7 linked regions of the Rattus norvegicus genome follow. The protein of the gene in region 7 purifies or fractionates together with the protein of the main gene of each other region. This does not show direct contact. Links are inferred from orthologs where the notes say so. Each region holds a gene or a part of one and is shown on either strand. Other genes may lie near its edges. The genes, in order: Cnot9, Nufip2, Ybx3, Cnot1, Serbp1, Larp1 and Rc3h1.

Region 1 (4,601 bases), on a different chromosome or scaffold from region 7:
AACTTGCTGCTTCTCAAATCATATGTGTAACTGGGGAAGAAGGAACAAAAGAAGCTAGGGGCTTCTGTCCAGTTGTTGCCTGTCAGTTGACTGCCATCTGCCTCCCTTCATGGCTGCTCCTAGACCTTGGCAAAGTGAGGACAAAAAGAGGACCAGGAATTTCATTTGGGCACCAATCAGACCAATGTCAAAACTAAGGGTAACGCAAACCTTGAGATATTGACAAAAGGTATGGAGATTAAAAGACTAGATTCTCATGACTAACATAATCATAGGAACAACTAGAAAACAAAGCATAGGCTGCCCAGTGGCGTCTGGAAACTCCTGGTCCACAGCATTAGAAAGCTTGCAGTGTTCCTTTGTACAAATCTTACTGTGCTGAGATTGCTCAGCGTTTCCTCTAAGAACTGCAAAACCACTACAGAAAAACACAACACAGCTGGCCATCAGTTATCAATCAGGCTGTGCAATGAAGGAAATTCGTATGTGGCTTACATATATTCTTTATTTGTGCTTATATAAACGCACACCTCCCCCTATGAAAACTATAGTCCCCTAATTAAGAACTTGAACAAGGGGGCTAGAGAGATGGCTCAGCGGTTAAGAGCACTGACTGCTCTTCCAGAGGTCCTGAGTTCAATTCCCAGCAACCATATGGTGGCTGACAACCATCTGTAATGGCATCTGACGCTCTCTTCTGCTGTGTCTGAAGACAGAGACAGTGTACACATAAAATAAATAAACCTTTAAAAAAACAGAACTTGAACAGTTAGAAACAGGATATAAAATATCACTTGCTTTGAAAAGAAGAAATAAACATCATAAAGTGGCATGTTAATATTTTTTATGTGTATTAGTCTGTGTGTCTTGTGAGTTTTGGGGATTTAACTCAGGTCCTCAGGCTTGGCAACAGGTCCCTTTACTCACTGAGCCATCTCACTCGTTCCTAAAGCAATGTTTCTGTATAGGTCTCGCTTACATACACTTAGCTGGGTTGCTTACTTTTTTTTCCCCTTTGAGACTGGGTCTAAAATGCTCCATAGACCAAGCTGCCATTGAATGCAGAGATCTGCCTGCCTCTGCTTCCCTGTGTGCTGGGATTAAAAACATGTCATGCCAATCAGATTGTTCACTTTTGGGAGGAGTCTCTGGAGACTGAACCCAGAATGTCACAAATGCTAGATCAAATATTCTGCTATAATTACTATCTCCAACCATCTTTTTTTTTTTTTAAGATTTATTATAAGTACACACTGTAGCTGTCTTCAGATACATGGACATCAGATCCCATTACAGATGGCTGTGTGCCACTATGTGGTTGCTGGGATTTGAACTCAGGTCCTCTGGAAGAGCTGTCAGTGCTCTTAACCGCTGAGTCATCTCTCCAGCCCCTCCAACCATCTTTTAAAAAGATGTTTTCTGAGATTTAAAAAAATTGCCAGGCTGATCTTGAACTTGTGGTCTGTTTGTTTGAGCTATTATTACAGATGTGCTGCCACCACACTCTGGAGAATGTTTATCTTTTCTTTTTGGTCAGGATATCACTATGCTAGCACGCTGGTCTGGAACTCTCCATATAGACCAGGCTGGCCTCAAAATTCACAAATTTACTTGCCTTCTGCCTTCCAAGCACGACTGTCCTAAATATTTCATTTTATACTTGAAGTTAAGGTAGTTTTTCATGTTTTATTTAGTCATTACGTCATGTTGTCTCATAATGTAATCCTAGTAGATTGTTTTCCTGATAGCATTTCCCTTTGGTGAAAGTGAAACTGGCAAGTGTTCTTAAACTATGCTGCTTCCGGTTGTGGGAGTACCTATTCAGGTCAGCAATATTTGAGTGCTTACCTTGTAGTAGGAACTGTCCCAGTGGTGGTGAAAACAAGTAAACACGACTCACCAAATACCTACCCCTGACTTCCAGGAGACAACCCACAAGTAAAAATAAATAAAAAATCCCGTAACTAAAACTGGGATCAGTGCTCTTTATGAGAAAATATTGGGGTTACAAGCTACTATGAAGATGGTCGGATAAAGTCACTCTGAAGTAGACTTGTGTCCATGTATGGAGTCAGAGTCCTAAGAAATACAATCCAGGTAGAGAATATGCAACAGAAAAGTTCATATACATTTTGGTCCGAGCTTAGGGAGCAAGTGACAAAAATCAAGCCCATAAACGTGACTAAGGACCATATCATACAGGAATTGTAGGTCAAGGAGTCTAATTTCTCTAAATTTAACCGAAAGTCATAGTATGACTTTAGGGAAGTGTAATACATGATTCGCTTTTCTTGGAAGGATAAAACGAGAGGTGCGAGGAAGGCTTTAAATGCAGAGAACCTTAAGTCAGATAGTCTTTGGCTTTCCTCATGCAAAGTGGCTTGAGCTAGAAGCCTATTTCTAATCACTGAGATCTGCCTAGGCGAGGAGAAATGGGATCACGGGACCAGAGCGAATGGCCGTGGAATTATCCTCATCTCCACCGACGCCCAGCACACAACCGGCAACCAGAAACTGACGCCGAGCGCAAAAGAATCAATGAATGGCCTGCTGAGGCAGCGCGGGGCGCGGGACCAGGCCTCGGCGCCGGAAAAGAACGCAAGAGGCCGCGCGCCAGGCCAGGAGAGGGGTCTTGAGGGGATAGCGGGGTCCGGCTCCGCCACGGTCTGCGTGTGGAGACTCCCGGACCTTGGGACTAGGGGCAGAAGCAGCTAGACTTGGGGCCCAAATCTGGGAACTAGAAAATGGGCTGAGACGGACATCCGGGCGCAACCACTCACCGCTGCCGTTGCCAGGCTGTGCATGTTGGGAGCGGGGGCCGCTCTACTTCTTCCGCTGGACGCGCCGGACCCGCGTCCCAGCTTTAGTGGCTCTGCAGCCGAAGATGAAGAGCCGCCATCCGTCTCCGGCTCGCTCCTCCCTCTTCGCAGCCCTTTGACCTCTCACCTCCGACCCTCCGCCCACACAGCCCTTTCCCGCCTCCTGGACCTCGGCCTAACAAATAGTCCCAAAGTATGTCCCTTGAACCTTCAGGTTCAGGATCAAAATGACGTCTGCAAACTACTGGTCCTCGTATCCCCCCGGCATCGCAAGTATATCCCCTAAGAAACGTGAACTCTGACTTTCCTCCTAAGGCCAGAGAAGGGCGGGAAAAGGCCAGCAGTCTTGGAAGGACAAAAACTGCGCATGCTCAAGCAGGCTGAGCGAGAGGAAAATGGTGGGAGGTCCAAAGTTGGTAAAGTGGAGAGTACGCATGTGTATTACAGTACAGTCACGACAGGGGCGGGGCCGCCCGGGTTAGGGGCTGGGCTTAGTATGGGGCGGAGCGAATGCTTGAGGGGCGGGACTTGCGCGCTTACGCGCACGCGCCTGGACTGGTTGCGTCGAGAGTGCGTGCGTCCGTACGTGTTTGCGTCTAGTCACAGTTCCCGCCATCAGAGGGTTTAGGTGTGCTAGGGGAGAGACCGGCCTCGCTGTCTGGGACTACGGGAGCTCTTTCCTTCCGAACCTCTTGGCCCCTCCCCCTCCGCGGGAACTTTATGCTTCCGGCATGTTTGTCCGGAGCTGGGACCCTCTGGCACAGGTAAGGCGAGCCAGGACAGCTTCTGAATTGAGCCGTTTTCCTCGGCACCCCCCCCCACCCTGTGCGGTCCGCCCACTCGGCGTCCACTTCAGAGTTCGCCGGGCTGCTTCTCAGCCCGCCCCGGGTCCTTGGACTCTCCCTATGCCTACAGGTGCCCCCATTCGAGTATTTCCTCTTTACTTTCTTTCTCTTTTAACGAAGTCCTTACTGTCACTTGCTTTCTGCATCCTAAACCTGGCTCCTCTTCACCAGGGTTCAGGTGGTCTCAGCTTGCCTCCTTGCAGGGCCTGCTGTCTTTACAGGTGACTTTGTTGCCACATATTCATCAAGACCTTGGATACGGTACTCACTCGCCCTCTTGACCATTCTTTACTTTTCTACTCCCCTTAAACATTACTCGCTAAAAGGGAGTGTAATTTTTGTCGTGCTTTGGTTGCTACCCGTATCTAGCCATGACACTGACGATGTCCAGTTTACCAATTTTAAATCAAGATCTGGCGAAAAATAGAAAAGTAATTGGTAATAAAGTTCCGTGTCGTTGGAAAGTTGTACTGTAGTGTTCAGATTTTCTTTTGGCGAGTTACGGTATCTAATGCGTCTATAGTTGAAAGAGCTAATCTAAGAGGGAATTGTTAAGAGGGCATTTGGATTTATTGGGTTAGGTATTAGAGGAGGATTCTGGACCAGACAGATAGACACTATTGTGCTTGTATGGTACGTTTGTGATTTGTCATGTTAATATGTGGGTGAATATCCAAAAGAATAGTGTTGCATACTGGCAAAAGGTAAAGGAGGGACTGAAAAATCCAAGGACAGATGTAATCAGTTGTCTTGATAAAAAAATTTTGGCACGGTAAAATAATTTAGTTTTGGACTGGGGTTCTCTTCTCTTGCTCTCCAAGCTTTAAATTCTACTATATGTTGATAAATTGAGGATTTTTATTTTCAGCTCCATATTCAAATAGCTGACTGCTTAACATCTCAATCTGATTTTTTTCCCTTAGGAATTTCAAATATG
Region 2 (4,022 bases), on a different chromosome or scaffold from region 7:
CTGAAGACAGCTCAGTGTATTCATATACATAAAATAAATAAATCTTTAAAAAAAAAAAAAAAAGATTTAAGCATGCTACATTCTCATGTGTGCCTAAGTATATATGAGTAAAAATAATAAAGAGGTTGTGAATTGGGGACACAGCATTATGAGTCCCCAAAGGAGAGTGATGTGAAAATACTGTCACAGTACTGTGTATGAAAGTATCATTTTTTTTTTTAATTTATAAAAGGCTAACCTTAGTATGGCTCAACAGTTAGGTGCACCTTCTACTCTTGCAGTGGAACCCAAATTAGATTCCCAGAATCAACATTGAACAGTTTGCAACTGCCTGTAATTTCACCTCCAGAATACCCAATATCTCCTTAGCACCCAAAAGTTCATGTCAGTGGTTAAGAATACTTGTGATCTTCCAAGTTTGGTTCCCAGCACCTGCATTGTGGCTCATAGCCATCTGTAACTACAGGCACTGGTGTGGTGGGAACAGAAAAGCAGGCCAAAATGTAAACACATAAAAAAGAAAGTCGGGGGCTGGGGATTTAGCTCAGTGGTAGAGCGCTTACCTAGGAAGCGCAAGGCCCTGGGTTCGGTCCCCAGCTCCGAAAAAAAGAACCAAAAAAAAAAAAAAAAAAGTCGGGGGCTAGAGAGATGGATCAGTGGTTAAGAACACTGACTGAGGGGTTGGGGATTTAGCTCAGTGGTAGAGCACTTGCCTAGCAAGCGCAAGGCCCTGGGTTCAGTCCCCAGCTCCAAAAAAAAAAAGAACACTGACTGCTCTTCCACAGGTCCTGAGTTCAAATCCCAGCAACCACGTGGTGACTCACAACCATCTGTAATGAGATCTTATGCCCTCTTCCGGTGTGTCTGAAGACAGCTACAGTGTATATAAGTTTTTAATAAAAAAAAAAGTCAGGCTGGGAAGATGGCAGTGGTTAAAAGCACGGACTATTCTTTCAGAGGTCCTGAGTTCAAATCCCAGCAAGCACATGGTGGCTCACAACCGTCTGTAATGAGGTCAGATGCTCTCTTCTGATGTGTCTGTCTGAGGACAGCTACAGTGTACTTATATATAATAAATAAATCTTAAGTCACAAACAACTTTGTTATTCTCTAAGGCAAGTTTATTCTAGAGAAAAAAAAATCTTCATCCCTATAATCTGATGGGCTCTCTCTTTCCTACAGATGAAAAGTCACTCCAAAATAAACCAGTATTTAATTAAAAAGTAGCATACACCTTTAATCCTAGCACTAAGAAAGAGATAGACATGTATTTGAGTTCAAGGCCAGCCTAGTCAGCATAGGTAGTTCCAGGATAGGGAAGACTACATAGTTTCTAAAAACAAATTAGCATGTGCAGTAGGCAATAGATGTTTATACCCAAGGAGTAGAAATGACATAAAGGATGCAAATAAAAATTGTTTTCTTTTAGTGTCATGGAGGATGGCCTTCAATCCCAGCACTCAGTAGGCAGAGGCAAGTGGGTATGAGTTCTAGGCCAGCTTGGTCTACAAACTCAGTTCCTGGATAGACAGGTTTACACACAATTCCTCCCCCACAAAGTTATGCATTCAGCAAGTTTTCATTTTTCTTTAATTATCCAGGTGAGGGATCTGCAATGGCAAACTGAATGTCAGAGGACCACCTCTGGGAACCAGGAATTGGAACTCAACTCAACTCAGGTCTAAGGCTTGGAAGCTGGTGCCTTTGCCTACTAAAAGCTATCTCTACAAGTCCCAAAAAATTCTGTTGTTCGAGTTAGGATTACTTTAGGTGGGGGTTGATGGGTTTGTGATTTTTTTTTTAAGACAGGTTTTTCTCTGTGTAACCTAGGTATCCTACAACTTTCTCTGTAGACCATACTGTCCTCAACTCAGAAATCCTGCCTCTGCCTCCCAAGTGCTGATAGATTGCACCACCATTGCATGGTATGTCAGGAAAGTTCTTAATTCCCTGCCTGGCACGTATTTAAGAGCAAGGCTCAAGGGTTGGGGATTTAGCTCAGCGGTAGAGTGCTTGCCTAGCAAGCACAAGGCCCTGGGTTCGGTCCCCAGCTCCGGAAAAAAAAAAAAAAAGAAAGAAAGAAAGAAAGAAGGAAAGAGCAAGGCTCAAGCCTTAGTAGTTAAGGAACAAAACTTGGAGGAACACTACTGCCCAATTCATTATAAGCAATTAAAACCATGAAATGCTTTGCTAATAGAGTATACACTTTAAGAAACAAGAGAGGGTGGCCAAAGTTGGTGGCATACACAGGCAATCCCAGCAGCACCTGTAGAGGATCAGAATTTCAAGCCCATTTGGCTTATAAAACCTTGGACTCTATCACTTAAAAAAAAAAAAAAAAAGTGGGGTTGGGGATTTAGCTCAGTGGTAGAGCGCTTGCCTAGGAAGCGCAAGGCCCTGGGTTCGGTCCCCAGCTCCGAAGAAGAAAAAAAAAAAAAAAGAAAGAACCAAAGAATTCAGATATACTAGTTTGGGGCTGGGGATTTAGCTCAGTGGTAGAGCGCTTACCTAGGAAGCGCAAGGCCCTGGGTTCGGTCCCCAGCTCCGAAAAAAAGAACCAAAAAAAAAAAAAAAGCAAAGCTGTGGGGCTTGAGAGAATGGCTCAGTGATTAAGAGCACTGACTGCTCCTCCAGAGGTCCTGAGTTCAATTCCCAGCAACCACATGGTGGCTCACAACCATCTGTAATGGGATCCGGTGCCCTCTTTCTGGTGTGTCTGAAGACAGCGACAGTGTACTCATATAAAAAATTAAAAAAAAAAAAACAAAAAACCTGTGAGACCCTATATAAAATAATATTAATATTATCTTTAAAGCAACATGAAGCCCCTCTAATTATGTGACCAATTATGCTTTTCTTGATCATTTTATGTTGGAAAATTACATTCCTCTAAACTTTAATATGATTTCCAAAAATCTCAAATTAACTGATGATACTAATTCTTACCCAGGTATTCCCAATATAGAGTATCAAATATACGCACACACCCACGCACACACCCACGCACACACCCACACACACCCCCACACCCACCCCCACACACAGGATAGAGAGGGGAGGGACTTATCAGCCCATTGGAATCTTTGAAAAAGAAACAAATAAGAGTTACCTTTAGTGTGATATACAATAGCAGCCCTCAGGTCAAAAGAACCCCAGCTATCATTCCTTTCTAGGCCTCTCTGGTATCTCTGTTCTTTGGCGGAGCCTAACAAAGTGTTCGTAGGAGAGGCCAGAGGATTTTGATTTTCTATTTCGTAGTCCTTTGAGAGAAACACTAAAGCACCTTGACTACTGGTGTCTGCTTTTTGCAGGTCACCTATATGACTGGGTTCCAAGGATAAGGCTCCACTCTCAGTAGTCCCAGGTTTTAGAATGTTACCCAGAACTTGAGGACTAGTCCGTTTTTCCAGCTCATAAGCCTTGGGAAACACAGGATGCTCAGTTCCTGAGGGAATTATTTCAGCACCCTGTGAAACCAAAGTGGCAGGATATTCTCCTTGAAATGTCACTTCCATCACTTTATGATCTGATGACTTTCCAATAACAGTCTCTGGGCCAGCACTGGGTTCATTTATAAACGATAAACCCCACTGATTCTGGAATATATCTCCCAGGTTTTGCTGATCTGTCTGAGAGGGCAGATCTACTTGTGCACTTAACAGCACTGTTTGCATATTTGAAGGGTAGATAAAAAGGCTAGACTTAATTTGTTCAACAGCTGCTGAACTCAGACTCATGTCCTGAAGAACTGAATCAGTCCCAGTAGAGATGGGTGTTAAAGTATTAGCAGCAGTAGTTAGCAGTGGCTGACCCGCAGATGGATACATACTTCCATCAGTTCCTGCTAAAACAGGCCCATTAGAAAAACTGGCAGAAGTAACAGATTTCAGAGCTGACATGGGGACCTGGGATAACCGACTTGAGGATTGGGTCTGAGTTTCCCCAGTAGATGATGATGATGAAGATGAAGTTGGTGACACAGAGGAGTTCTGTACAGTTTTGTTGAGGTTTTCCTTAACTTT
Region 3 (4,604 bases), on a different chromosome or scaffold from region 7:
AGGTAGGATAATTTTTCTACAATGCCTCACTTGAAAATTCATTAAGAAAAAGAATCTAAATGTTGTAGATTCCAAATATGACTGCTGGGATCAATGGTGAATGTCATATTTAGTGTCTCCAGGAAATGGAGAGGTCTAAACCAAGGAAATGCACCAGACGGTCATCAACACTCAGTGAAAGAGAAAACCTGGCAAGGCTACATTTAGAAGGGAGAAGCTCAGGAGTGGACAAGCCAGATCTACAGCCTCTTGTGAGGAGATGCTGTGGTTCTGTGGGGCACAAAGATGGGCTTGCACAAGCCTCTTAGCTTTCTTAGATGGACTGCTCAGCATTTAGCTTAAAGCCAATCTAATGTGAGCTGCAGAGCAAATGAGAAAAAAGAAAAACTCACATTTCGGATGTCAACATAAAGAAGTCAGGTATGGATAAACAGTATGGCCTCTACAACAAGATTCCACATGAGAGGATTTTTGTGTTTCTTTTAAATATTCTGGATAGATACAGATATATACCGATACACACACGGAGGTTGTGAAAGAAACTGATAAAAACACTAAGCCCAGTGTGGTGCACCTGTAATCCTGCCCCTTGGGAGATGAGGGCAGGATAACAAGGAGTTAAAGGTTATCATCTGCTACAAAGTGAGTGAGTGTAGGCCAGCCTAGGTTTCTTCATGAGGCCAATCTCAAAAAAATAAAAGTGCAAAACCAAAAACAGATACACAAAGCGAGGGAAATGCAATGCTAACAGCAGAAGGGGGAAGATGGGAAAGATTCTCAAGTCTGTTTTCACCATTGGTGTTTCTTTACTTCTCAAAGTTATTTTTTTTTAAAATACAAATTGTACAAATATTTCCATGAGCTTCATATAACCAAACAAATCCATTCACATTTTTAATACTATATTCAAGTACACAGCAAGGGGTTAGTTGGTAGAATAAGCCTATTCAGTTCTTTTTACGTGGAAAAACTTGTTTTCCCTGAAGGACCACATGGTATAAACCAAAGGCCCCTTTGCAAAGACCAGAGTGAGAGCGTCCAAGATATCCATTTCAGTCAGTACTAAGTCCAGAACATTTTGGGTATCCATGTGTCTGCTTGGCACAGGAGATGGCAGACCACAGAGGACAAAGACAAACAGTGCCGAAAGTGTCAGGTGGAGGCTTGCCCTTAATTTTGAGAGTCTGGACTTTTGAGTGGCAGGATGAAAGACAACAGATTCAACACCAGGCATCTGGCAGAAACAGAACTAAACTGCTGGAGACTGAGGAAATTAACCTTCGTTTACAACCCCCACGCCCCCATCTACAAAGATATTATCAACTTTTCTTATCTCGAAATTCAAGGATCAAGTAAAAACCTGTAGGATTCCATCTGCCCCGGGTAAGGTATCATTAAGAACCTGCTTCTGCTAGCAACACAGGGTTCTATCTTCCATTTTGTGTGGAAGTTGTCCAAGGAGCATCTGGTGGAAAGTGCCACAATGCAACACCCACAAGACCTTTAAGGAACTTTTTCGTGTGGGTGAGGAAAAAAAATTGGGAGGAACTGAGTTTTTAAAGCCTTAGGAAAACAAAAACCAAAGGATTGTCGGGGGTGGGGAACACTGAAGGTGTTCTATTTTTTTTCCACAATACTCCTTCAGCTTTCATGCTAAATGGGGAGGAAGCTCAGAGAGCAGGCGAGCCCAATCGGCCCCACCCAGAAACAGTGAACATTTCAGAAGCATCCTACACCATCTGTTAACTTTCCTGTTTCGGATAGCGAACCACATGCGCACGCACACACCCTCCGGGGAGCTTATCCACCACCCACCTGCTAGGCCAGCCTGTGGAAGGCCTCACACCGGGCGTTCCTTAAGGAAGATGAGGACACTCAAATATGTGACAAAATACAACAGCCACCGTTGCAAACCCTCGATCCCCCAATATCTCCAGTCCCCACCTTCCCGTTTCCCTTCCAGTTACAAGTCGTATGGTAACCATGTTTTGGACACTCGTCCTACTCCCGACTAAGTTTTTCCCAGCCCTGTACGTGTGTTCCCACGGTGCGGGAGAGGAAAATGTGCAGCAATTGGTGGATACTGGAAGGCTCTTTGCATCTGTGGACACAAGGGGAGGAGGGTGCCCGCCCCAAGTTTCTCCGGGCGTTGCAACATCTCTGTGCCGGCATATGGCCCGCAGGAGCATGGCGGCTGTCCCAAGCCCACGAGGGAAGGGCGTCGGGGACAGACACCTGACACTACCAGGCCAAGGGGGGAAAAATACACCACACAATAAAGTCTTCCCAAACCACCCCTCCTGTCCCTCTCCGGAGTCCCATCCTCCCCGCGAGGAAACGTGCGGCTTTCCCGACCCACAGCAAAGGCTCCCCAGACCTGGCCCACGTGTCCCAGCCCGCCCTGCATCCACGTCCATCCTCGCCCGCCGTCTCTCCCGGGCTGCAGCCAGGGACTCACCGAGAACTTTCTTCTCCGCGTCCTCGCTTCCCGCGGGGGCTGATGAGGCCGGGGCGGGCCCGGGGGCTGCGTCTCCGCCGGGGCTCCCCGCGAGCAGCGCGGCGGGCGCCGGGGCCTGGGGCGCGCCGCTGGCCGCCGGGCTCTTAGGCGCGGGGTCCGGGGGCGCCGCGGCGGGCGCGTCGGCCGCGGCCTGCGGGAGCGTGGTGCCGCCGGTGGTGGCCTCGCCCGCCTCGCTCATGCCGCCTCTCCGCTCTCTCCGGGCACCTCGGTGGCGGTTGGCGGCGGTTAGCGCGGTGGCGGTCGCGGCGGCCGGCTCGCTCTCGGGGAGGCCGGTGCGGATCGCGCGGCGCGGCGGCGGGCGGCGGCTCGAGGGCGGGGGACGCGCGCGCTCGCGGTCTCGCTGGGTCTCCCGGCCCCGAAGATGGCCCCGCGCAAGTGCTCGCGGGCGGCGGGCGGGCCGGCGGGCGCGGGGCGGGGAGAGAGGGTGGGGAAAGCCGCCCCGGCTGCTCATTAGCATTTAAAGGCGCCTGCGCTACTCCTTAGGGCTCTCGGAGCTGGTGGGTCCCGGGTTGTGGGCACCGTGGAGAGGTTGACGCGGAGCAGAGGAGATATCCCCTCCCCAAGACATCTTCCACTTGAGTTTGCTTCTTGAGGGGTGGAATGGGCAGCCACGCGGCCCCTTAAAACAAAACCAAAAACCCTCTTTTACATTTGCGCATCCAGAAAACACCAGAAAGTATTCTGGGTGCTAAGATTAGGAACTGGAATAACCTGGGAACTGAAGTTGGCTGGCAGGGGTAATACTAGTACTTTAGAGACTGAGACTGGAATGTCACTGTGAGTAGTGGCCTAGCTTGGGCTACTGAGACTGCCTCAACTTTACTCCTCCTTCCTGGTAGTAACACAGAAACAAGCAAAGGGTTGGAGATGTAGCTTAGGGGATCCAGTGCTTGCCTAGCAGGCACAGTGCCCTGAGTCTAGGGCATGGATCAGTTCAAGGTCATCATGGGCCAAAGAAATTTGCAGGCTGCAAGAGATTCTCTCCAAACAGCTGCGTGCGCTCAGGGAAACACTGCCCTCACCCCTGCCCCCAACAAGACAAAACAAAAACTCTTATAAAAATCAAAAGGCCCCATTTAGCGATTCCACAAGTGAGAAAATTAAAATCTAGACCTTCCAGAATTTCTGCAAATGCAGGATTTACACCAGTTAGAAGCAACCAATAATAAGCTGTTAATATGTATTTAATAACCTACGTTGAAAGAGTGGAATAAATCCACATTATACCTTTTGCTACAATTGGCTATAATTAACTCTAAACTGGGGGAAAGCTTGAGCAACTGAGAGTAGGACCTGCACGATGTCTCAGCAGGTAAAGGCTTGTCTCGGAGCCTGACCACCTGAGTTTCATCCCTGGACCTACCAGATGGAGGAAGATAATCGACTCCCTCAAGTTGTCCTGACCTCCATACATGGGTCATGGCAACAGCATTTGGCACCACCACCTGTGGCGGTGTTAGTCCTGACTGTCTTTGAACCCCCTGTGCAGGCCAGCCTAACCTCTTAGAGATCCTCCTACCTCTCTGCGCTCCTCTGTCCTCCTCCACTAGTACTGCGATTAAACTTGTATGCTGCTCTGCCCAGCTTAAAAAACGTTTTTAAGAAAAAAAAAGAAGAAGAAGAAGAAGAAGAAGAAGAGGAGGAGGAGGAGGAGGAGGAGGAGGAGGAGGAGTCCTGGTCTCTAGGACGAGACATACAAGACACACATCACCCTAAACACCCTTTACAGAGTGAAGTTTAACTCTTGCCAAAGAATTGAGACCCGTACCAAAGACTATCTGGAATATAGGGTCATTTCGCCCTTAGGGCTCAAAGTAGTGCCTCTCTTTAGTAACCAAATTAATATAGGCCAGCTACTAAGTGTCCCAGAGTCCTTTATGAAAGTTTCCCAAAGGTGCTGTGACAAGAGGCTAAGTTATACATGGTTTCAGTGTCAGGTGCAATGAAAGTTTTCTTTTAAAATTCCCTTTCACCCCCCCCCATCGTAAATGCTGATCAACCATCTGACATCTGACATTAAGATATTAAGATGGCGCTCTCAAGTTGCAACTCAGATTTTTGCATTTCTACTGGTTAGCACAATGCC
Region 4 (2,944 bases), on a different chromosome or scaffold from region 7:
AGGGTCACTCACCTTTCAAGGACATTAAATTAAAAGTAGAAAACAAAACCTCCACACCTGAAGTTTTTAAATATAGTTTAACCACACAGATTTTCTTGTTTCCTCCAGTTGACACAGAAATGGTATATAAAGTTTCCTTGCTAGGGGTGGCTGTAATATTGCCAGTGAGGCAAGAGATGGATAATCTGGACTATATAGTAGCAGAAGTCCAAAAGGATCAAGTAATCGGAAAATCTGGTCACTACTTTCCTATTGACTGGGCTGTCCACTTCTGTCGCCAGCACTGGCTGCTGCTGCTACTGAGAAAGGCACAGTGGACTCCTATGCATGTCATGACTTTACAAGAAAGCTGATTAAGGCCCAGAAGCTACAAAGGCTACAAAATGTTAACAGGGGCCTAGCTGTTCATGGAGCATTTTCAATCCTGATCCTTACAAAAGGCAGCAGCCGTAGCAGTCATCCATGACAACATGACCTGTTATTTACCAGGCTGTACCGCCAGCCTAGGCATGGTGATGCAGAACCCCAGACCAGAGGTGATTTCCTCTCCGGGTATGCTCTCCCTTAGGACCCTTTCCAAAGGCAAGCAGAGCTCCCTGGGTCTCAACTGTGAGTCTTCCTGTGTTCCCAGGCTATCAAAGAGCCTATCTAGTCTACACTTAGAAAGCTGCATGAATTCAATGTTTTGCTATTCTTTGGAATGTCACAGAAGTGGGAAGACAAGCTGCTGTGCCCCAAGACCAGAGCATGCCGTCAACTACCTTTACACACATATCTAAGACACACTTTGCACAAACTCAAGAAGTTCCAGACAAAAGTTTTCTCTTTCATATATTTACACAAGTTCAAAATGATATTCACAGCATCTTCTAAATTTTGGCCAAGAGTCAAAAAAAAAAATGCATTTAAACTTTGGAACTTGCCCACATAGACAGGAGAACCAACCCCAGCAGTTGTTGGGGCAGACGCCTGAGAACCAAAGGGCTAGGAAAGTCAGGAGGAGCTGAAAGGATTCTTCAGTTTATGAACTTGGTTCAGTGGGACCAAGGTTGATGCCTCTGCAAGGGATATACACAGTTCATCTAACTGGCACCGGTCCCCTCCATCACTTGCTGAGCCTGCTTCTGTCCCATGCAGCACTGCGCAACAGACTGGAACAGCCTGAGAAGGGGAGACAAGCATGTGTTAACGGCACGACAAGCTTCAGGCCTGGAGATTCCAATGTGACAGCTACAACTGCCCTCTAACTCAGACCCAAATTAGAAGCATTCTTTTCTGTTTCCCTGCTTGGTAATTAACATTTTAACTCACTTTTCGATCTCTGGGGCACAGTGTACAAATTCATGGTTCCAGAACTTAAATGCTGGGTTTTTAATCAGCTCAATGAAGGTGATGAGAAGACCCCAAGGATGCGGCCTATTTACAATCAACCGTTCCAAGAGAACCCTAAAAAGGGGTAGAGAAGAGTCAGTTAACACATAAAAAGCAAATGCCTCACAACTGTGCCTCCTTTGCCCCTTTCCCTGAACCCACTTAGAATTTAGCATACAGGAATCGGTGAGATCCTTCCTACATGACAAGTGCTGGCTAGAATCAATTCTTTGTTCTCATACTTGTTTCCTGGTGGCAAAGATTTGCTGCTGAAGCTTCAGACATAATTACAAACCAGCGGCACATTGCCACCCAAGCACACAAGAAGCACAGCTCAGTGTAGGGAAGAACCGTGGCCACGAGCACTCCGTTGGGAGAATAGGAAGTCCCACCCCATTAGATTGTGCACTCATCTCCAATCCTATATGGTTTAAACAAAACAGAGTATGACCCTACTGTTTCCCCTTAAAACCTTAGAAAAAAAAGAAGTACACAAAATGTCAACAAGATTCTGGATAAAAAATGTTATTGTCACTGCTACCACCAAGAAACTAATGTTGCTTTTATGGTAAACTAGACCCAGCATTTCAAAGCCAACTACTGTCAACATCAGCTTGTTTATAATTCCTCAGACATGATTCAGAATAAGACAGCAAAACTGGGACTGCACACGACTCCACTCAGAATGCAGACAGGGAGGCAATGTCTGAGCCAGCCTGGTCTACAGAGCAAAGTAATTTCAAGACAGCCAGGGCTACAAACAATGCAGGAGGGAAGAGCCCCTGTAGGGCACCATACACTAAATCTTTCTCACCTTGTGATCTGTTCCTGGATTGCCTCAGTGTTCGCCTCGGCAAAAAGGTACAGCATGGTGCAGCTGAAGTAGTGCGTGTGGCTGTTTGGGTACCGCAGCTGGTTTGCAATTGCGTTTAAAAAGAGATACCGGCCTGGAAGTCAAGGAAACTAGATTTAGGACTTACCCTTGCGGGCCAGAATGAGTCAGTTTAGGCTTTGGTTTCTAAAGGAGACTGATACCATCAGGCAGACACCATTAGCACGGTGGGCCTTGGGCCAGGATGGATACAAACTGAACGTTAGTCCAATTCTGTGATTTACTAGTGCTTTTCTGGATACCAACTTTTTTTTTTTTTTTTTTTTTTTTTGGCTTCTGTAGATTTTATTTGCAATCCATACTATGAATCAGCAAAATTCTTACATTCTTTTTTTTTTTCCCCCTATTCTTTTTTTCGGAGCTGGGGATCGAACCCAGGGCCTTGCCCAAGAGCTCTACCACTGAGCCAAATCCCCAACCTTCTTACATTCTTTTAAAAAAACTCTTGAGGGTCACTGTTTTACATTCTATAGACTTCCTGTCACGTCACAGCAGCGGAAAGCCAGTTCTGCACTGTCGACACCTAGCTACTTAAAGCATTTTATTTCATTTGTACTTGAAAAATTGCTGTGTACACATGAAATAAACAAAAGCAATGTCTTCCTGACAGAAACAGTCCTGACCTCAGAGCCCTTACTTCAAGAGCCTTGTCCCTAAAGATCCTCATACTGTGAAAAGGAG
Region 5 (4,022 bases), on a different chromosome or scaffold from region 7:
TAGGCATGTGTTTAACTATCAACTTGTCCTTAAGACTACCAATAATTCAATTTATTTCAGTTGTTTTTTTTGTGAGTTTCCTATGTTGTCAGAAAAAAATTAAGGCAGAAAAATTAGTTAATGCTTTAAATATCAGTTAGTGCCATAAGTTTTCTATTTTCTTGTTTTGAGAGTGGGTTCTGTGGCTCAGGGCTGTGCATGTTACTGACACCCAGGTAATGAGCCACAGTTGCAGCCTCCTTAGAATGTAATTGCTAAAAGATCTTCCTGTGTCTGATTTGTGAAGATGCTTTGAAAATAGATATTTGTAAGAGCAGACTTAGAAAAAGACCAGCTATACTAATAATGAAGTTTCCTACTGATTACACAGTAGTATTAAAAAATTGGGAATGTGTATAGAGATATGTGTACATATACTTGGACTTTGAATGTTTTGGGTCTGAGAAAGGTGGGTTTTTTTTTTTAACTCCCACTGATTAAATAGCTCTGCTTATTTGGGATGGAGATGGGACATGGTTTCTCTGTAATCCAGATTGGCCTTGAGTTTTTAAACCTGCCTAGTGTTGATGTTGTAGTATAGCTGTCTTAAATTGTTTCTAGAACTCATAAGTGCCTTTTGTTTTCCTTTCAGAATTACAATTTTATAGAATCAAGAATTCTCTATTGGGTGAATTTCATTCTTCAGTGCAGCAAATTTAGTGAATATCCAGTGCTTGGTTATTTATGAATGGCTACTGGTATTAGCTTTGTATTAAAAGTTAAAAATATATCCCTTGATTGAACTATCTGTAAGTTTGACATTTTGTAGTAAGAAACTTTGACTTGGAAACTAAAGGAGTGATGGTACCTAGTGATTTGTGTCAGTTACAGAATGCTTGTAAATGAAGTTTGAGAGGTTTACTGTTGAATAAGAATATTCTAGTTTGTTAAATATACATAGATGATACAGATCAGCTCTACTAGTCTAGCCTCAACGTTTTGTATTATAAAGATGATTTGCTTATGTTGGTTATTTGTCATAAGGAATAAGGCGAGTTGGAAGAAGACCTGATCAACAACTTCAGGGTGATGGGAAAATAATTGATAGGAGACCAGAAAGGCGACCACCTCGTGAAAGAAGATTTGAAAAGCCACTTGAAGAAAAAGGTGAAGGAGGTGAATTTTCAGTTGATAGGTAAGCATTAAATAAGGTTTTCTTGCTTTATCACCCTATAGTTAGATCTTAATGTAAAGCTATGAGTTGGGCATACTGCTAGAGTAGTTGGAGTGATTACTTTGTGTATTTCAGAGAAATTAAATATGTGGTATATTTACATTTTCGACAACATATTTTAAGTTAGATTTCTTAATAGTATATTTTAATTAAGTCCGTATCGAGTTTTTCCTTCCTCTGTGCAGACCTTGAGTTTGAGGCGAGCTCCGTGTCACTGTAGTTTTGTGTATATAGGTCGGTAAGTAGCAGCGTGACCTGCAGTGAGTCAGTAAGTGAGTGTGTTCCAGCAGCAGTGCTTTAAACAGTAGCAAAGCAGCTTTTAATCCTCCCATATGTGAGTAGAAATTAACTTGGAATTTTCTATACCATATATTTACTTGTTCGGTTATGAGCCAGTGAGCATATTCTATATTTTCAAGCTTGGAGTGGATTTTTCCAGTTTCTGGAAACACTAGAGATAACAATTTTTTAATTTGCTTTGCAGACCGATCATCGAACGGCCTATCCGAGGCCGAGGTGGTCTTGGAAGGGGTCGAGGTGGCCGTGGCCGTGGAATGGGCCGAGGTGATGGATTTGATTCTCGTGGCAAGCGTGAATTTGATAGGCATAGTGGAAGTGATAGATCGTAAGTCTTATATTGATTGTTGTATGTATGAGATTTAAATGTGCATATTTAATAAAAACAAAATTTGAATTTCTAGAACTAAAGAGTATAATGTTAACTCAGTTTTGTTAGTTCTTTTTCACATTACAGTGGCCTGAAGCATGAGGACAAACGTGGAGGTAGCGGATCTCACAACTGGGGAACTGTCAAAGATGAATTAACGTTGGTATTCTGATTTTTCTTTTAAGATAAATAAAACAATTTCAATGAAACCAAAAGTGCTAGATTATCAGTAACTTAGATTTTGTTCCTGAAGCAAGAATGAATGTTTTGTCTTAAAGCTATATATAACCTTACGGTGCCTTTTTTTTTAAAAATATTTATTCATTTATTATATATAAGTACATTGTAGCTGTCTTCAGATACACCAGAAGAGGCATCAGATCCCATTATAGGTGGTTGTGAGCCACCATGTGGTTGCTGGGAATTGAACTCAGGACCTCTGGAAGAGAAGTCAGTGCTCTTAACCACTGAGCCATTTCTCCTGCCCCACCTTACAGTGTCTTATAGGATATGTTTATATTAGATGAGCAATTTTTTTATACTTAGGTATATTAATAGTTTTATTTTGATAAAGGATGTGTGTACAGTCCTGAAAGCCCCGTGATGAGGATGCTGGGAATATAGTTCTAACTGTAGCTGTTGTAGTCTTGTTCTTACAAAATTTGATAAGGCTTCTTCCTCTCTTGGTTTATTTTGGATTTTTTTTGAGATGGGTTTTCTGTAGTTGAGACTAGCCTTGAACTTGCTATGTAATTACAGCCTTCTACTGCTGTGTCTGACTTAGAAAGCCTTGTTTTAAAAGTGTGTAAGGTAATTTAATAATTTGTTTTCTCTTGGAGGTCTACTGGAGAGTAAAATTAGTAGAAAATATATAAAAATGTAAAAGTTTTTACTTTGGTATGAAAGAATTTTGGCTACATGTAAATGGACCTAGATGCCTTTCTTCTTTCTTTCCTTAGAGAGTCACCCAAATACATTCAGAAACAAATATCTTATAATTGCAGTGATTTGGAGCAATCAAATGTGACTGAGGAAACACCCGAAGGTGAAGAGCACCCAGTGGCAGACACTGAAAATAAGTAAGTGGTTTTGTGTCAGGAAGTAATAATCCAGCGTGGAAATAAGTCTGATAATTGTGCTGTTCCATATATTAAGGACTATATGTATTGTAAGTAAAGCCTTTTAGAGCTAATCATAAAGGGAAAGGAACAAAGCTTGCTGATAGGATCTGGTGATAACTGTTCTTACTCTGAATAGGTAGGATTATTAACTGAACCAAGTTTTGGTGTAAGAGGTATTTGTAGTGTTTAGTTAGTCATAGTTCAAAGTAATCTCAACATTTAGTTATATATACTAAAACTAGACAACTTGAAAAGACTTGGTAAATTAGGTCCAATTTAAGTTTTTTTATTAATATGAATTTTGAGCAGCAAATTATTTGAAACTAAAAAGCAACGAGAATGTTTTAGCTCATTAGCATTCTTAAAATTTCATGTGTCTGAGTGTTGGCCTGCATGTGTGTTAAGTACACTGCATTCATGCAGCATCTATGAGGCCAGTAGAGGGTGTTGTGCTCCCTGGATAGTCTAGTGCTACAGTAAACAACGGGATATTAGGTGTATTTTTGGCACACTGATTTTATGCTGTGGAACTCAATCTACTGTGTTATGACTTGAGCATTGTGGTCTTGAAATCAGAGTAGCTGCCGCTAAACATTGGTTCTAGTGAAGCTTGCCAGGTGGTCTAAGGACGACCCCTATCTTCTCTGAATATGTGTAAGCCATTAATGATTGCTACTGTAAATAAACCCTTACCCATACTCCTATAAATAACTAGTGAAACTCATTGGCCCACCAGGCAACTAGAATAATTTCTTTTTGTATGTGCTTAATCTGGGGTAATAAATACATGTTGATTCATGCTGGTGAAATTGTCAGGTCTGTTTCTAGGTTTTTATTCTTTTAAGAGTCTTTGATTTCCATTGTGGTTGTTTGAATGTACATTTGTGATACGATTTGGAGTATTTTCTGTGAACTCTCACCAGCATTTCTTTCTTTGTTAATAGCCATTTATGACTAGAATGAAATTATACTGTGGTTTTGATGTTTTGTTTTTTATAGTCATAGTCTCTTGTAGCTCTGA
Region 6 (4,022 bases), on a different chromosome or scaffold from region 7:
CCCTAAATTCTAGTTCAACTACCCATCTGGTAGCCATAGGCATGTCCTTTTCAAACACCAGACCTCTTTTTTGTTGTTATAAATCTCTAAAATAAGGAGATCAGAGGTTCCAGATGTAAGAATCACTTTCTGGAAACCTGAATAAAAACTAACTTTCTAGGCTCCCTTCACACATGTGACACATCACTGCCTGTGACAACCTTGTGGGGCCATTCTAGGTGGAGTGAGCAGGAACAAGGGAGCCACCTTGGATGGAGAGGCTGCTGTGCTTAATGAGTTAAGAGTTGCCACCTCAAGCCTGGCCTGCAGACACAGAATAGGTCTCGGAGAGAAAGCAGTCAAGCCTGTATCATTTCAACAGGTTTAAGAAACTCTTAGAGCAATATAAAAGCCCGTATAAGAGAAGATGCACTAAGGCTGAGCAAAAGCTGCTCCAAGCAGTCAGTCACCCCCTGGCCTGAAGTTCCTCCAGCAGGTCAGGCTTATGTCATTTCAAAGTTCTGAAAGGTACACCTCCCGGGTCCTGGCCAAGCCACTTACCTTTCTTCTTCTGCCCGCCTCGCTGGCAGTCCTCATCCCCATTCTTTTCCTCCCCCGATTCATCCGACTTTGTTTTTGGGCTCTCCTTACTATCACTTCCATCTCCTTTCTCCTGCTCCTTCATGTCCTTCTTGGGTGGCAGCTTACGGGCAGGCTGAGGCTTGTGGGACTGTGGCTACAAGAGGCAAGGAAACATGTGGTCACTGGGGAAGTATAAGGACAGGCTACACTAGATACATCCTAAGGTCTAGCTTTCATACTCAGACAACACCACTACAAAACACGACCATACCAGCTATGGAAGAACAACTGATTGTTCTAGCTACCCAAATCTGTGGGATAGAAAAGATGCTGGCCTGTCTGTACCAAAACCTCTACCATAAGGGACCCACTGGGGCAGTCACTAGCTCAGAACAAAAGTGATGAGTGGAACTGAACTGACCAAGAAAGAGTCTCTTCTGCTAGAATCTAGGGGAGCTAAGTATACCTCCCCAAACTGGAGTCAGTGCCTCAACTGATACCTCTTTTTTCAATTACTCATAGAAAAATGTGGCTCAGTAATGGAAAAATATGGGCTTTGGAAAACTGTAACACAGTTGTTTCCTAAACCCGCTGAGCCACCACTGGAAGGCAAAAAAGAACAGTGCCTGGCACCCCTGAAACCAGGCAAAGGCTCACATGATGGTAATTCCTAATTATTTCATTCCTGTCCATCTTAAATAACTACTCTTCATTTGTTGAGAATTGAAGGGGGTTGGGAGTCCTATGTCTCAAAGGATGGCCTTGAACTCTTGGACTGAGTATAGTCATCCTTCTTTATCCTTTTGAGTAGCTGGGATTTCAGAAGTATACATACTATTGTGCTCACCGACCACTCCTTTTCAAAAATCAAGAAAGGTGGTGTTTATGGCTCTTGGTCAAAAACCAACTAAGTCAGTATGAAGAGTACTTGAACCTGCCAACCCCTCCTCACTCACCTGCACACTTTTGTGGGCTATTTCTCCAGGTGTAGGCCAGTTGATTGCATCTCCAAAGTCACCAACCTGCAAGGTATCGTCTATGAAGGCCTTGGGGTTACTCTGCCTGCCATTTTGCTCCACACCCAAGCTCTAGCTCTTTTTAGAGATAGGGACACAACAGTGTGTGCACTCAGACACCATGCAATGGCACCCATAAAGGCTTCCATGCTCTTAGAGAAGGGCCCGAAGTGCTTATGAGAACAAGAATAATGAGCGCCCACAGGGACACTCCCCGGTCTTTACCTTGCTGCCCTTACGCTGTTTGGGAGCAGCTGCCCTCACCACCTTGGCCGGAGCAGAAGGTTCTGTGGGAACAAAGAGAAAGAATCAGCTGTCAGAGCCTATGTCATTACCATGCCCATCCCACCATGCACCTACAGGTTCCCAAAGGAGCCACAGCAGAAAGGGCAACAATATAAACTGGCAGCCTAGCCACCAAGCTGCTCAACACTGAAGTGGGAAAACCCTTAGAGTCTAAGTCTGTATTTTTTATGAGTTATCAACTGAGTCTCAAGGTCCATAACCAAGTCTACACTGTAACTCAGAGCTCCAAATCTATAGGCAAAACCTGTAAGGAGATTGAGTCTTCTGTATACTTCTGCAAGCCCAAAGAAAATAAAGCTAAACATGTGAATGGACACGTCCAGGGCCATACCAAGGCCTGCTGTGTCCTCGCTGACATGTAGTTGAAGTAAGAACTACCTTTTCTGTTCCTAAAGAAAAGGCATACTCCGATTTGACTCTAAAGTTCAATTTTGTGAGACAACATTTCCCAGTGTAGCCCTGACTGGCTTGGAACTTGTCAGCAGATCAGACTGCTGAACTCATAGAGATCTCCCCCCGACACATCCTTTGCCTCCCAAGCATGCCACCATACCTGGCCAGTTTCATCTTTTAGATTGAACCCCAATAATACAAGTGAGACAAGAGCTATACACAATTTCAACTCCAACAGTACTAAAATCACCGAATTTCAATTCATCCACTTTCACAATAGCCATTAGAATATACTGGTCTTTGGTTATGTGGAGATAGACACATAGAAGATGATGACTTCATCTGTTTTCTATAGAACAGAGGAGCGTGTATGTAATCATGCATCTGTGGGGCATATATTTAACTTTTCTACAAAGACGAAGATGGCTTTTAAGGAACAGAGTACGCAAGTCTAGAAGAAGTGGCTCTGGTTAGTTTGGTCCTGAAAACCAAGGGTGTCTTGTCCCTCCTGCCTCTAGAGATCCACGGGAAGAAACACAACCTGAGATTCTGCTCACTCACTTTAGCTTGTACTTCCCTCCTCTGCCATGTCAGGTCAGGAACTACCCTAGCCTCCAAGCACAGAAACCTGGCTGGCTGGCCTCACAAGGTTTTTCAACAGACTATGTCCTTTAATGAGAAGAAAGTGTCCTTGCCCAGTTCCTAAGGGTGAAGCCAATTCATTCCTGGCTTCTGGCCGGTTACTGGAGCCACTGTCCCCTAATGGTGGACATAAGTCTTCTGATAGCTGGAGTTGTTGAGCCCACAGCAACCTCCAGGGCTGAGAAGCAGAAAACTAGAAAATCTCAGGTGCAAGAAAACCACTGTCCTTTGACCCCAGGTTGACCCAGATAAGCCATTGAACATTTAGTAGTTCCTTGACTGGTCTAAAGCTCCTCACACGAGCCGAGCAAGTGTGGTAGTAGATGCCTTTAATGCCAGCACTCAGGTGGCAGAGACAAAGGATCTCTGGAAATCTGAGGACAGCCTAATCTACAAAGTAAGTTCCAGGACACCCAGGGATATACCGACCATCTAACAACTAAACAGATCTTCATCCAATTCAGCCCAGGGCCTGGACAGTGGCCGCCCACCTGAGCTACAACTGGAGTCATTTCTTCATGTGCTCAACAGCATTGGTACATGCTAGCAGGAAAGCAAGCCCCAAAGCTAGTGACAAAGTTTACAACAAGAATTGTATGCACGCTGGGGATTTGGCTCAGTGGTAGAGCACTTGCCTAGCAACCGCAAGGCCCTGGGTTCGGTCCCCAGCTCTGGAAAAAAAAAGAAAGAAAGAAAGAAAGAATTCTATGCACAAGGACTGGAAGTAAGGTATACCGAAAATCATCTCTGAAAAGAGGGCAAAAGTTTCCAGACACTGGTCTTTTCAAGTCTCTTGGTCTGAGTAAAATATACCTTGCCTCGCCAGGAAATGGAGAATCAACTCTCACAAGCTGTCCTCGGATTTCCACAAGCATGCCCTGGTGCTCCCCCCAAAAAACAAACAAAATAAACAAACATAATAAAGCCTTTTAAAGCTATTTTCTCAAGCATTTTAAAAGAAGGGTCTTGCTCTGTAGCCCAAAAGCAGTCTCAAATTTCCAGCAATTCCCCTGCCACAGCCTACGAAGTGCTGGAATTCCAGATGTATATCCTTCCTAGTGGCCATCTTATTTCTTATAAAATCTCTCAAAACTGAACAGTACT
Region 7 (4,022 bases):
TGGTTTGGGGTATTGAATCCAGAGTTTCATATATATTAGGCATACACTCTATCAACTGAACTATACCCTAGCCCCTCAAGCAATCTTAATATATAAAGACTTCATTTTAGTTTATACTCCCAAAATTGCCCAAGGTGCAATTACTTTCTTACAGGGAAAAGTTTAAAAATCATTGCCTTTAAGAGTCTTAAAAGCAGTAATAGAATTACACTGAGAATCATAATTACCACTCTAGGATTCTTACCAGAAATGTTAATAGATTTTGTGGGTGCTCCCTGAGGTGCCAGAGCTTGCATTGGGCCAGCACCCTGATACAGTGTTTTGGATGTTCGAGAGATGGCACCAAATCGAGATACCGTTGGTCGGTCGCCAAATGGGATAAGGTCATCATCACTAGTTTCCACTGCTCTTCTCTGAAGATCCAACCTCTGGTCTCTCATTCCTTTACTTTCTACATTCTGACAAAAAGCAGAAGTGACATGTTGTTTAGCATAATTTCCACTAGCTCTGTAAAGGAGTTAATAAGAGCATGATGCTCTTATTAGTAAGAATAACTCTTTAGTTATCTTTGGATGTCATATAAAACATTGGTTTTAGATCACAGTAAGAATATGACCTACTTTAAGTACAGACAGATGATAGTAGATGATAGATCAACCCATTCCTAAGTAGTATGTACCAACATTAACTTGTCAGGCAAGCACTTTACCACTGACCTCTATGTCTAGCTCAAATATCAATGCTTGAGAGGCACTGGGTTAAGGCTTCTTTCACGTATCTAGAAAAATTTTTAATGGCATGTAATTTTGTTATTTTTTTCCAATTTAAGGAAATTAATTTTACTTTGCTAATGTTACTTCAGTGTGACAACCCTTTTGAAAGCACCTTACATTACTATTCTATTTCAACTTAGTCTAGTGAAAGACTTCCTGTGTTATAGAGGCATCCTTGCTCAAGAAGGACATTGCAAGTTTTGTTTCAACTTAATTTCACCTTATTTGATGCTGGGAACTGAGCCCAGGACCTTGTTCTGTCACAGTCCCCTTGCAGGTTTGCTTTTTTATTTAACTATTCTTTCTTACTGGCCTGTCACCTACTTGAACTGGTTTTATCTTGAACAAGCTAGGTAAACATTATCTATGAAAACCTACACAAATCAGCAGGGAACCTTCTTGGGATTCACAGGGAAAATGATGTCAAGTGATCCCTGTCAAACCAGTAATACCACTGTCTGTCTTTCTTTTTACTTTCCTTCTTTTTTCTTTTCTTTTCTTCCTTCCTTTCCCTCCCTCCCTCCCTTCCTTAGGAGACAGAGCCTCACTATATCCCCCACCATCTCTGCACCCCGCCACCTCCCCACCTCCTCTCCCATCCTGAGACTAAAGGTATGCACCACTACATCCAGCTTTTTTTTTTTAAAATATATTTCAAGCTGGCTTTTGGCCAGGAATACATGTCTAAGCATAACTTTCATGGATATGCACAAAGTCTAGAAAGTGTCCATTTAATACTCTACGTAGGGGCTAGAGAGATAACTCAGCAGTTAAAAGAGCTTGTTCTTCTTGCAAAGGACCGGGTTTGAATCCCAGCACCCACATGGTAGCTCATAACCATCCCTAATTCTAATTCCAGGACATCAATCTAATGCTCTTTGGACAACAGACGCTCATGAAACACTAACATATATGTGAGCAAAACACTCATACACATAAATATAAGCAAATCTAAAAAAAAGTCTTTAAAAAAATGAAGTGAAAAATTATACATAATGTTAAAAGATCAGTAACAGTGACCTGTAACTGTAGCTACTAGCCAGGCTAAGGCAAGTCTACCACAAGCCTGAGATTAGCGTGTGCTATGCACAGTGATTTCAAAGCCAACCCAAAACTTAATGAGGTGCTTTCTCCAAAAGGAAAGAGTAGCAGCTGAGTACAGTGGCACTTGCCTAGAGCCTCAGCTACCTACCCCGTGGATGAGACAAGAGGGAGACTTTATGCAAGGTCATCCTGGACAACACAGGAAAACCCAGTAGGGTTTTTGCTAAAAAACAAAACAAAACACAACATTGTGCAGTGTGTGTGTGTGTGTGTGTGTGTGTGTGTGTGTGTGTGTGTGTGTGTGTCTAAGCAATAAAAATTAAACTCAGGGAAGAGGTTACTTATTGACAGGGAGGAGTGAGGGACAAAAATAAGATTAGGGAGATTAACTACTTTTACAAAGTTTTATTGCTATAGGGGGCAATTAATATGTAAAATACTGATACATAAATACGGAAACACACACACATATCCCCAGCTGTCCAAAACTCACTATGTAGACCAGGTTGACCTTGAACTCACAAAGCTCCAGCTGCTTCTGGCCCCAGGTGCTTGTATTAAAGTCTATTAAAGTACCACTGATGGGCAAGTTATTTTAATTATGTGACTTTGTAGTACATCTATGTGGGTATATGCACTGAGTAGGTGCCCACGGAGACCAGAAGAGCAGTGGATCATCTGGAGCCAGAGTTACGGGTGGTTGTGAACTGCCCAACATGAGAGCTGGGAACAAAACTCAGGTCCTCTGCAACAGCAATATGCTCTCTTCAACACCGAGCCATCTCTCCAATCCTCAAACCTTGGATTACATACTGAAAGTGATTTAACTTGGGTTCTGAACAACTCTTGGGAATTACTACCTAAAATAATATATAATATTCTTTGTCAAGAAAATAATATACTTTATACTTAAATGAAACAAAAGCAAAGCTTTCTTAGTTGTCCCTATAATTTAATAGATGAGAATTTATGTATCTAGGTTTTATTAATTATGCTTAGCCATTACACATACCATCATTTCCACACTCCCTGCTGCCACAACATCTTTGGGTTTTGCATCTTTGGTTCCAATGTAGGAGCCGATGGTATCACATGACCAAGGAGAATATTGGCTATAATCATTTGCTTTGTATTTTCCAGCTACCTTCAAGTCTTCATCCAAAAACTATAGATAGAGGGGGAAAAACAGGAAATGGGTCTATGAGTTAACAAAACAGAAAAAGTGGGGAATGTCTAGAACATCAAATTAAAGCAATATAGTGATAGTTACTTGATTATTAAGTGTCAGAACATATTTTTATAGACTGAAAAATGTGAAGATTATTTTAGCCTTCATATGTTATTGGCAGCTAAAAAAAAAAGAGAGAAAGAAATAACTTCAACCTCCTTTCATAATTCAAGCTAGGATCTTAAGAAGTTTGTTCACTCTTTCTTCCACTGCCTTAGGTAAAGTCAAGTCAGCACGAGAGTAAATATGCAGCACGCCGTATGTACACTGGCGGGGCTATCCTCAATAGGCTCCAGTAACTCCTCCAGTACACGAGAGCACTCTCCGTACCTCGTGCTTTATGAGGTAGGTATAATGCAACAATTCTTTGCTGGTGCTTCTTCGACAGCAGTATTTCCTGTCTTGAATACATTCTGGGCCAAGACTGATTCAATTAAGTAAAAGAACAAAATGCCTTATTTTTATCTTCTTGACTAAAGTTCTGTGTTATACAATAACAATATTCCATTCTGAGGACAATGTGTTTTAACATTTTAAAGTTCTAGCTCATGTAGAACAGCTAACTTTTAGAATATATTGATACCTAGCAAGTAAGCTCTTCCACTGAATATTATATATTATGCAGCTACAAAAAAGAATAAATTAACACCAACATAGATATCCCCAAAACAAAACTAATAAACAACTCTGCTCTACTCCAACAAACATGTTCATACACATAAAAATGTTGAAATACAACAAAACTGTTAGTTGGTATAGGAAATGGGAATTTGAAGAAAGTATTATTTCTATGTCATGGACTCCTGTAATGTATGAATTATATATGAGAATTCAGAATAGAAGCTTAAATATGGAGCTAGCCAGGTGTGGTGGTGAAAGCCGTTAACCCCAGCACTGAGAGACAGAGACACTATGATTACCTTCATACAGTAAACGAGCTACTATTTACTGTGTATAGTAATCTTCACTTCACTCTA

Evidence for each region.
Region 1: the proteins of Rc3h1 (region 7) and Cnot9 purify together in Homo sapiens (affinity purification with mass spectrometry, with the first as the bait; 4 studies listed by BioGRID). This does not show direct contact. The link is inferred for Rattus norvegicus from reciprocal best matches to the Homo sapiens genes RC3H1 and CNOT9.
Region 2: the proteins of Rc3h1 (region 7) and Nufip2 purify together in Homo sapiens (affinity purification with mass spectrometry; 3 studies listed by BioGRID, with this or other methods). This does not show direct contact. The link is inferred for Rattus norvegicus from reciprocal best matches to the Homo sapiens genes RC3H1 and NUFIP2.
Region 3: the proteins of Rc3h1 (region 7) and Ybx3 purify together in Homo sapiens (affinity purification with mass spectrometry, with the first as the bait; 3 studies listed by BioGRID). This does not show direct contact. The link is inferred for Rattus norvegicus from reciprocal best matches to the Homo sapiens genes RC3H1 and YBX3.
Region 4: the proteins of Rc3h1 (region 7) and Cnot1 purify together in Homo sapiens (affinity purification with mass spectrometry; 5 studies listed by BioGRID, with this or other methods). This does not show direct contact. The link is inferred for Rattus norvegicus from reciprocal best matches to the Homo sapiens genes RC3H1 and CNOT1.
Region 5: the proteins of Rc3h1 (region 7) and Serbp1 purify together in Homo sapiens (affinity purification with mass spectrometry, with the first as the bait; 3 studies listed by BioGRID). This does not show direct contact. The link is inferred for Rattus norvegicus from reciprocal best matches to the Homo sapiens genes RC3H1 and SERBP1.
Region 6: the proteins of Rc3h1 (region 7) and Larp1 purify together in Homo sapiens (affinity purification with mass spectrometry, with the first as the bait; 3 studies listed by BioGRID). This does not show direct contact. The link is inferred for Rattus norvegicus from reciprocal best matches to the Homo sapiens genes RC3H1 and LARP1.

The regions. Positions count from the first base shown.
Region 1 is NC_086027.1:83,531,989-83,536,589, reverse strand, and holds the start of Cnot9 (CCR4-NOT transcription complex subunit 9), read right to left. Parts: upstream 3,222-4,601; 5' UTR 2,805-3,221; coding exon 2,781-2,804; intron 1-2,780. UniProt on the Homo sapiens protein: Component of the CCR4-NOT complex which is one of the major cellular mRNA deadenylases and is linked to various cellular processes including bulk mRNA degradation, miRNA-mediated repression, translational repression during translational initiation and general transcription regulation.
Region 2 is NC_086028.1:63,079,534-63,083,555, reverse strand, and holds part of Nufip2 (nuclear FMR1 interacting protein 2), read right to left. Parts: coding exon 3,110-4,022; intron 1-3,109. UniProt on the Homo sapiens protein: Binds RNA.
Region 3 is NC_086022.1:166,881,613-166,886,216, forward strand, and holds the start of Ybx3 (Y-box-binding protein 3), read right to left. Parts: upstream 2,880-4,604; 5' UTR 2,697-2,879; coding exon 2,459-2,696; intron 1-2,458. UniProt on the Homo sapiens protein: Binds to the GM-CSF promoter. Seems to act as a repressor. Also binds to full-length mRNA and to short RNA sequences containing the consensus site 5'-UCCAUCA-3'. May have a role in translation repression.
Region 4 is NC_086037.1:9,350,498-9,353,441, reverse strand, and holds the end of Cnot1 (CCR4-NOT transcription complex subunit 1), read right to left. Parts: intron 2,319-2,944; coding exon 2,186-2,318; intron 1,447-2,185; coding exon 1,312-1,446; intron 1,162-1,311; coding exon 1,083-1,161; 3' UTR 806-1,082; downstream 1-805.
Region 5 is NC_086022.1:97,734,176-97,738,197, forward strand, and holds part of Serbp1 (SERPINE1 mRNA-binding protein 1), read left to right. Parts: intron 1-1,023; coding exon 1,024-1,174; intron 1,175-1,697; coding exon 1,698-1,838; intron 1,839-1,949; coding exon 1,950-2,039; intron 2,040-2,839; coding exon of another isoform or gene 2,840-2,884; coding exon 2,885-2,959; intron 2,960-4,022. UniProt on the Homo sapiens protein: Ribosome-binding protein that promotes ribosome hibernation, a process during which ribosomes are stabilized in an inactive state and preserved from proteasomal degradation.
Region 6 is NC_086028.1:42,722,502-42,726,523, reverse strand, and holds part of Larp1 (la-related protein 1), read right to left. Parts: intron 1,865-4,022; coding exon 1,803-1,864; intron 1,584-1,802; coding exon 1,518-1,583; intron 716-1,517; coding exon 541-715; intron 1-540. UniProt on the Homo sapiens protein: RNA-binding protein that regulates the translation of specific target mRNA species downstream of the mTORC1 complex, in function of growth signals and nutrient availability.
Region 7 is NC_086031.1:75,762,371-75,766,392, reverse strand, and holds part of Rc3h1 (roquin-1), read right to left. Parts: intron 2,983-4,022; coding exon 2,830-2,982; intron 459-2,829; coding exon 245-458; intron 1-244. UniProt on the Homo sapiens protein: Post-transcriptional repressor of mRNAs containing a conserved stem loop motif, called constitutive decay element (CDE), which is often located in the 3'-UTR, as in HMGXB3, ICOS, IER3, NFKBID, NFKBIZ, PPP1R10, TNF, TNFRSF4 and in many more mRNAs.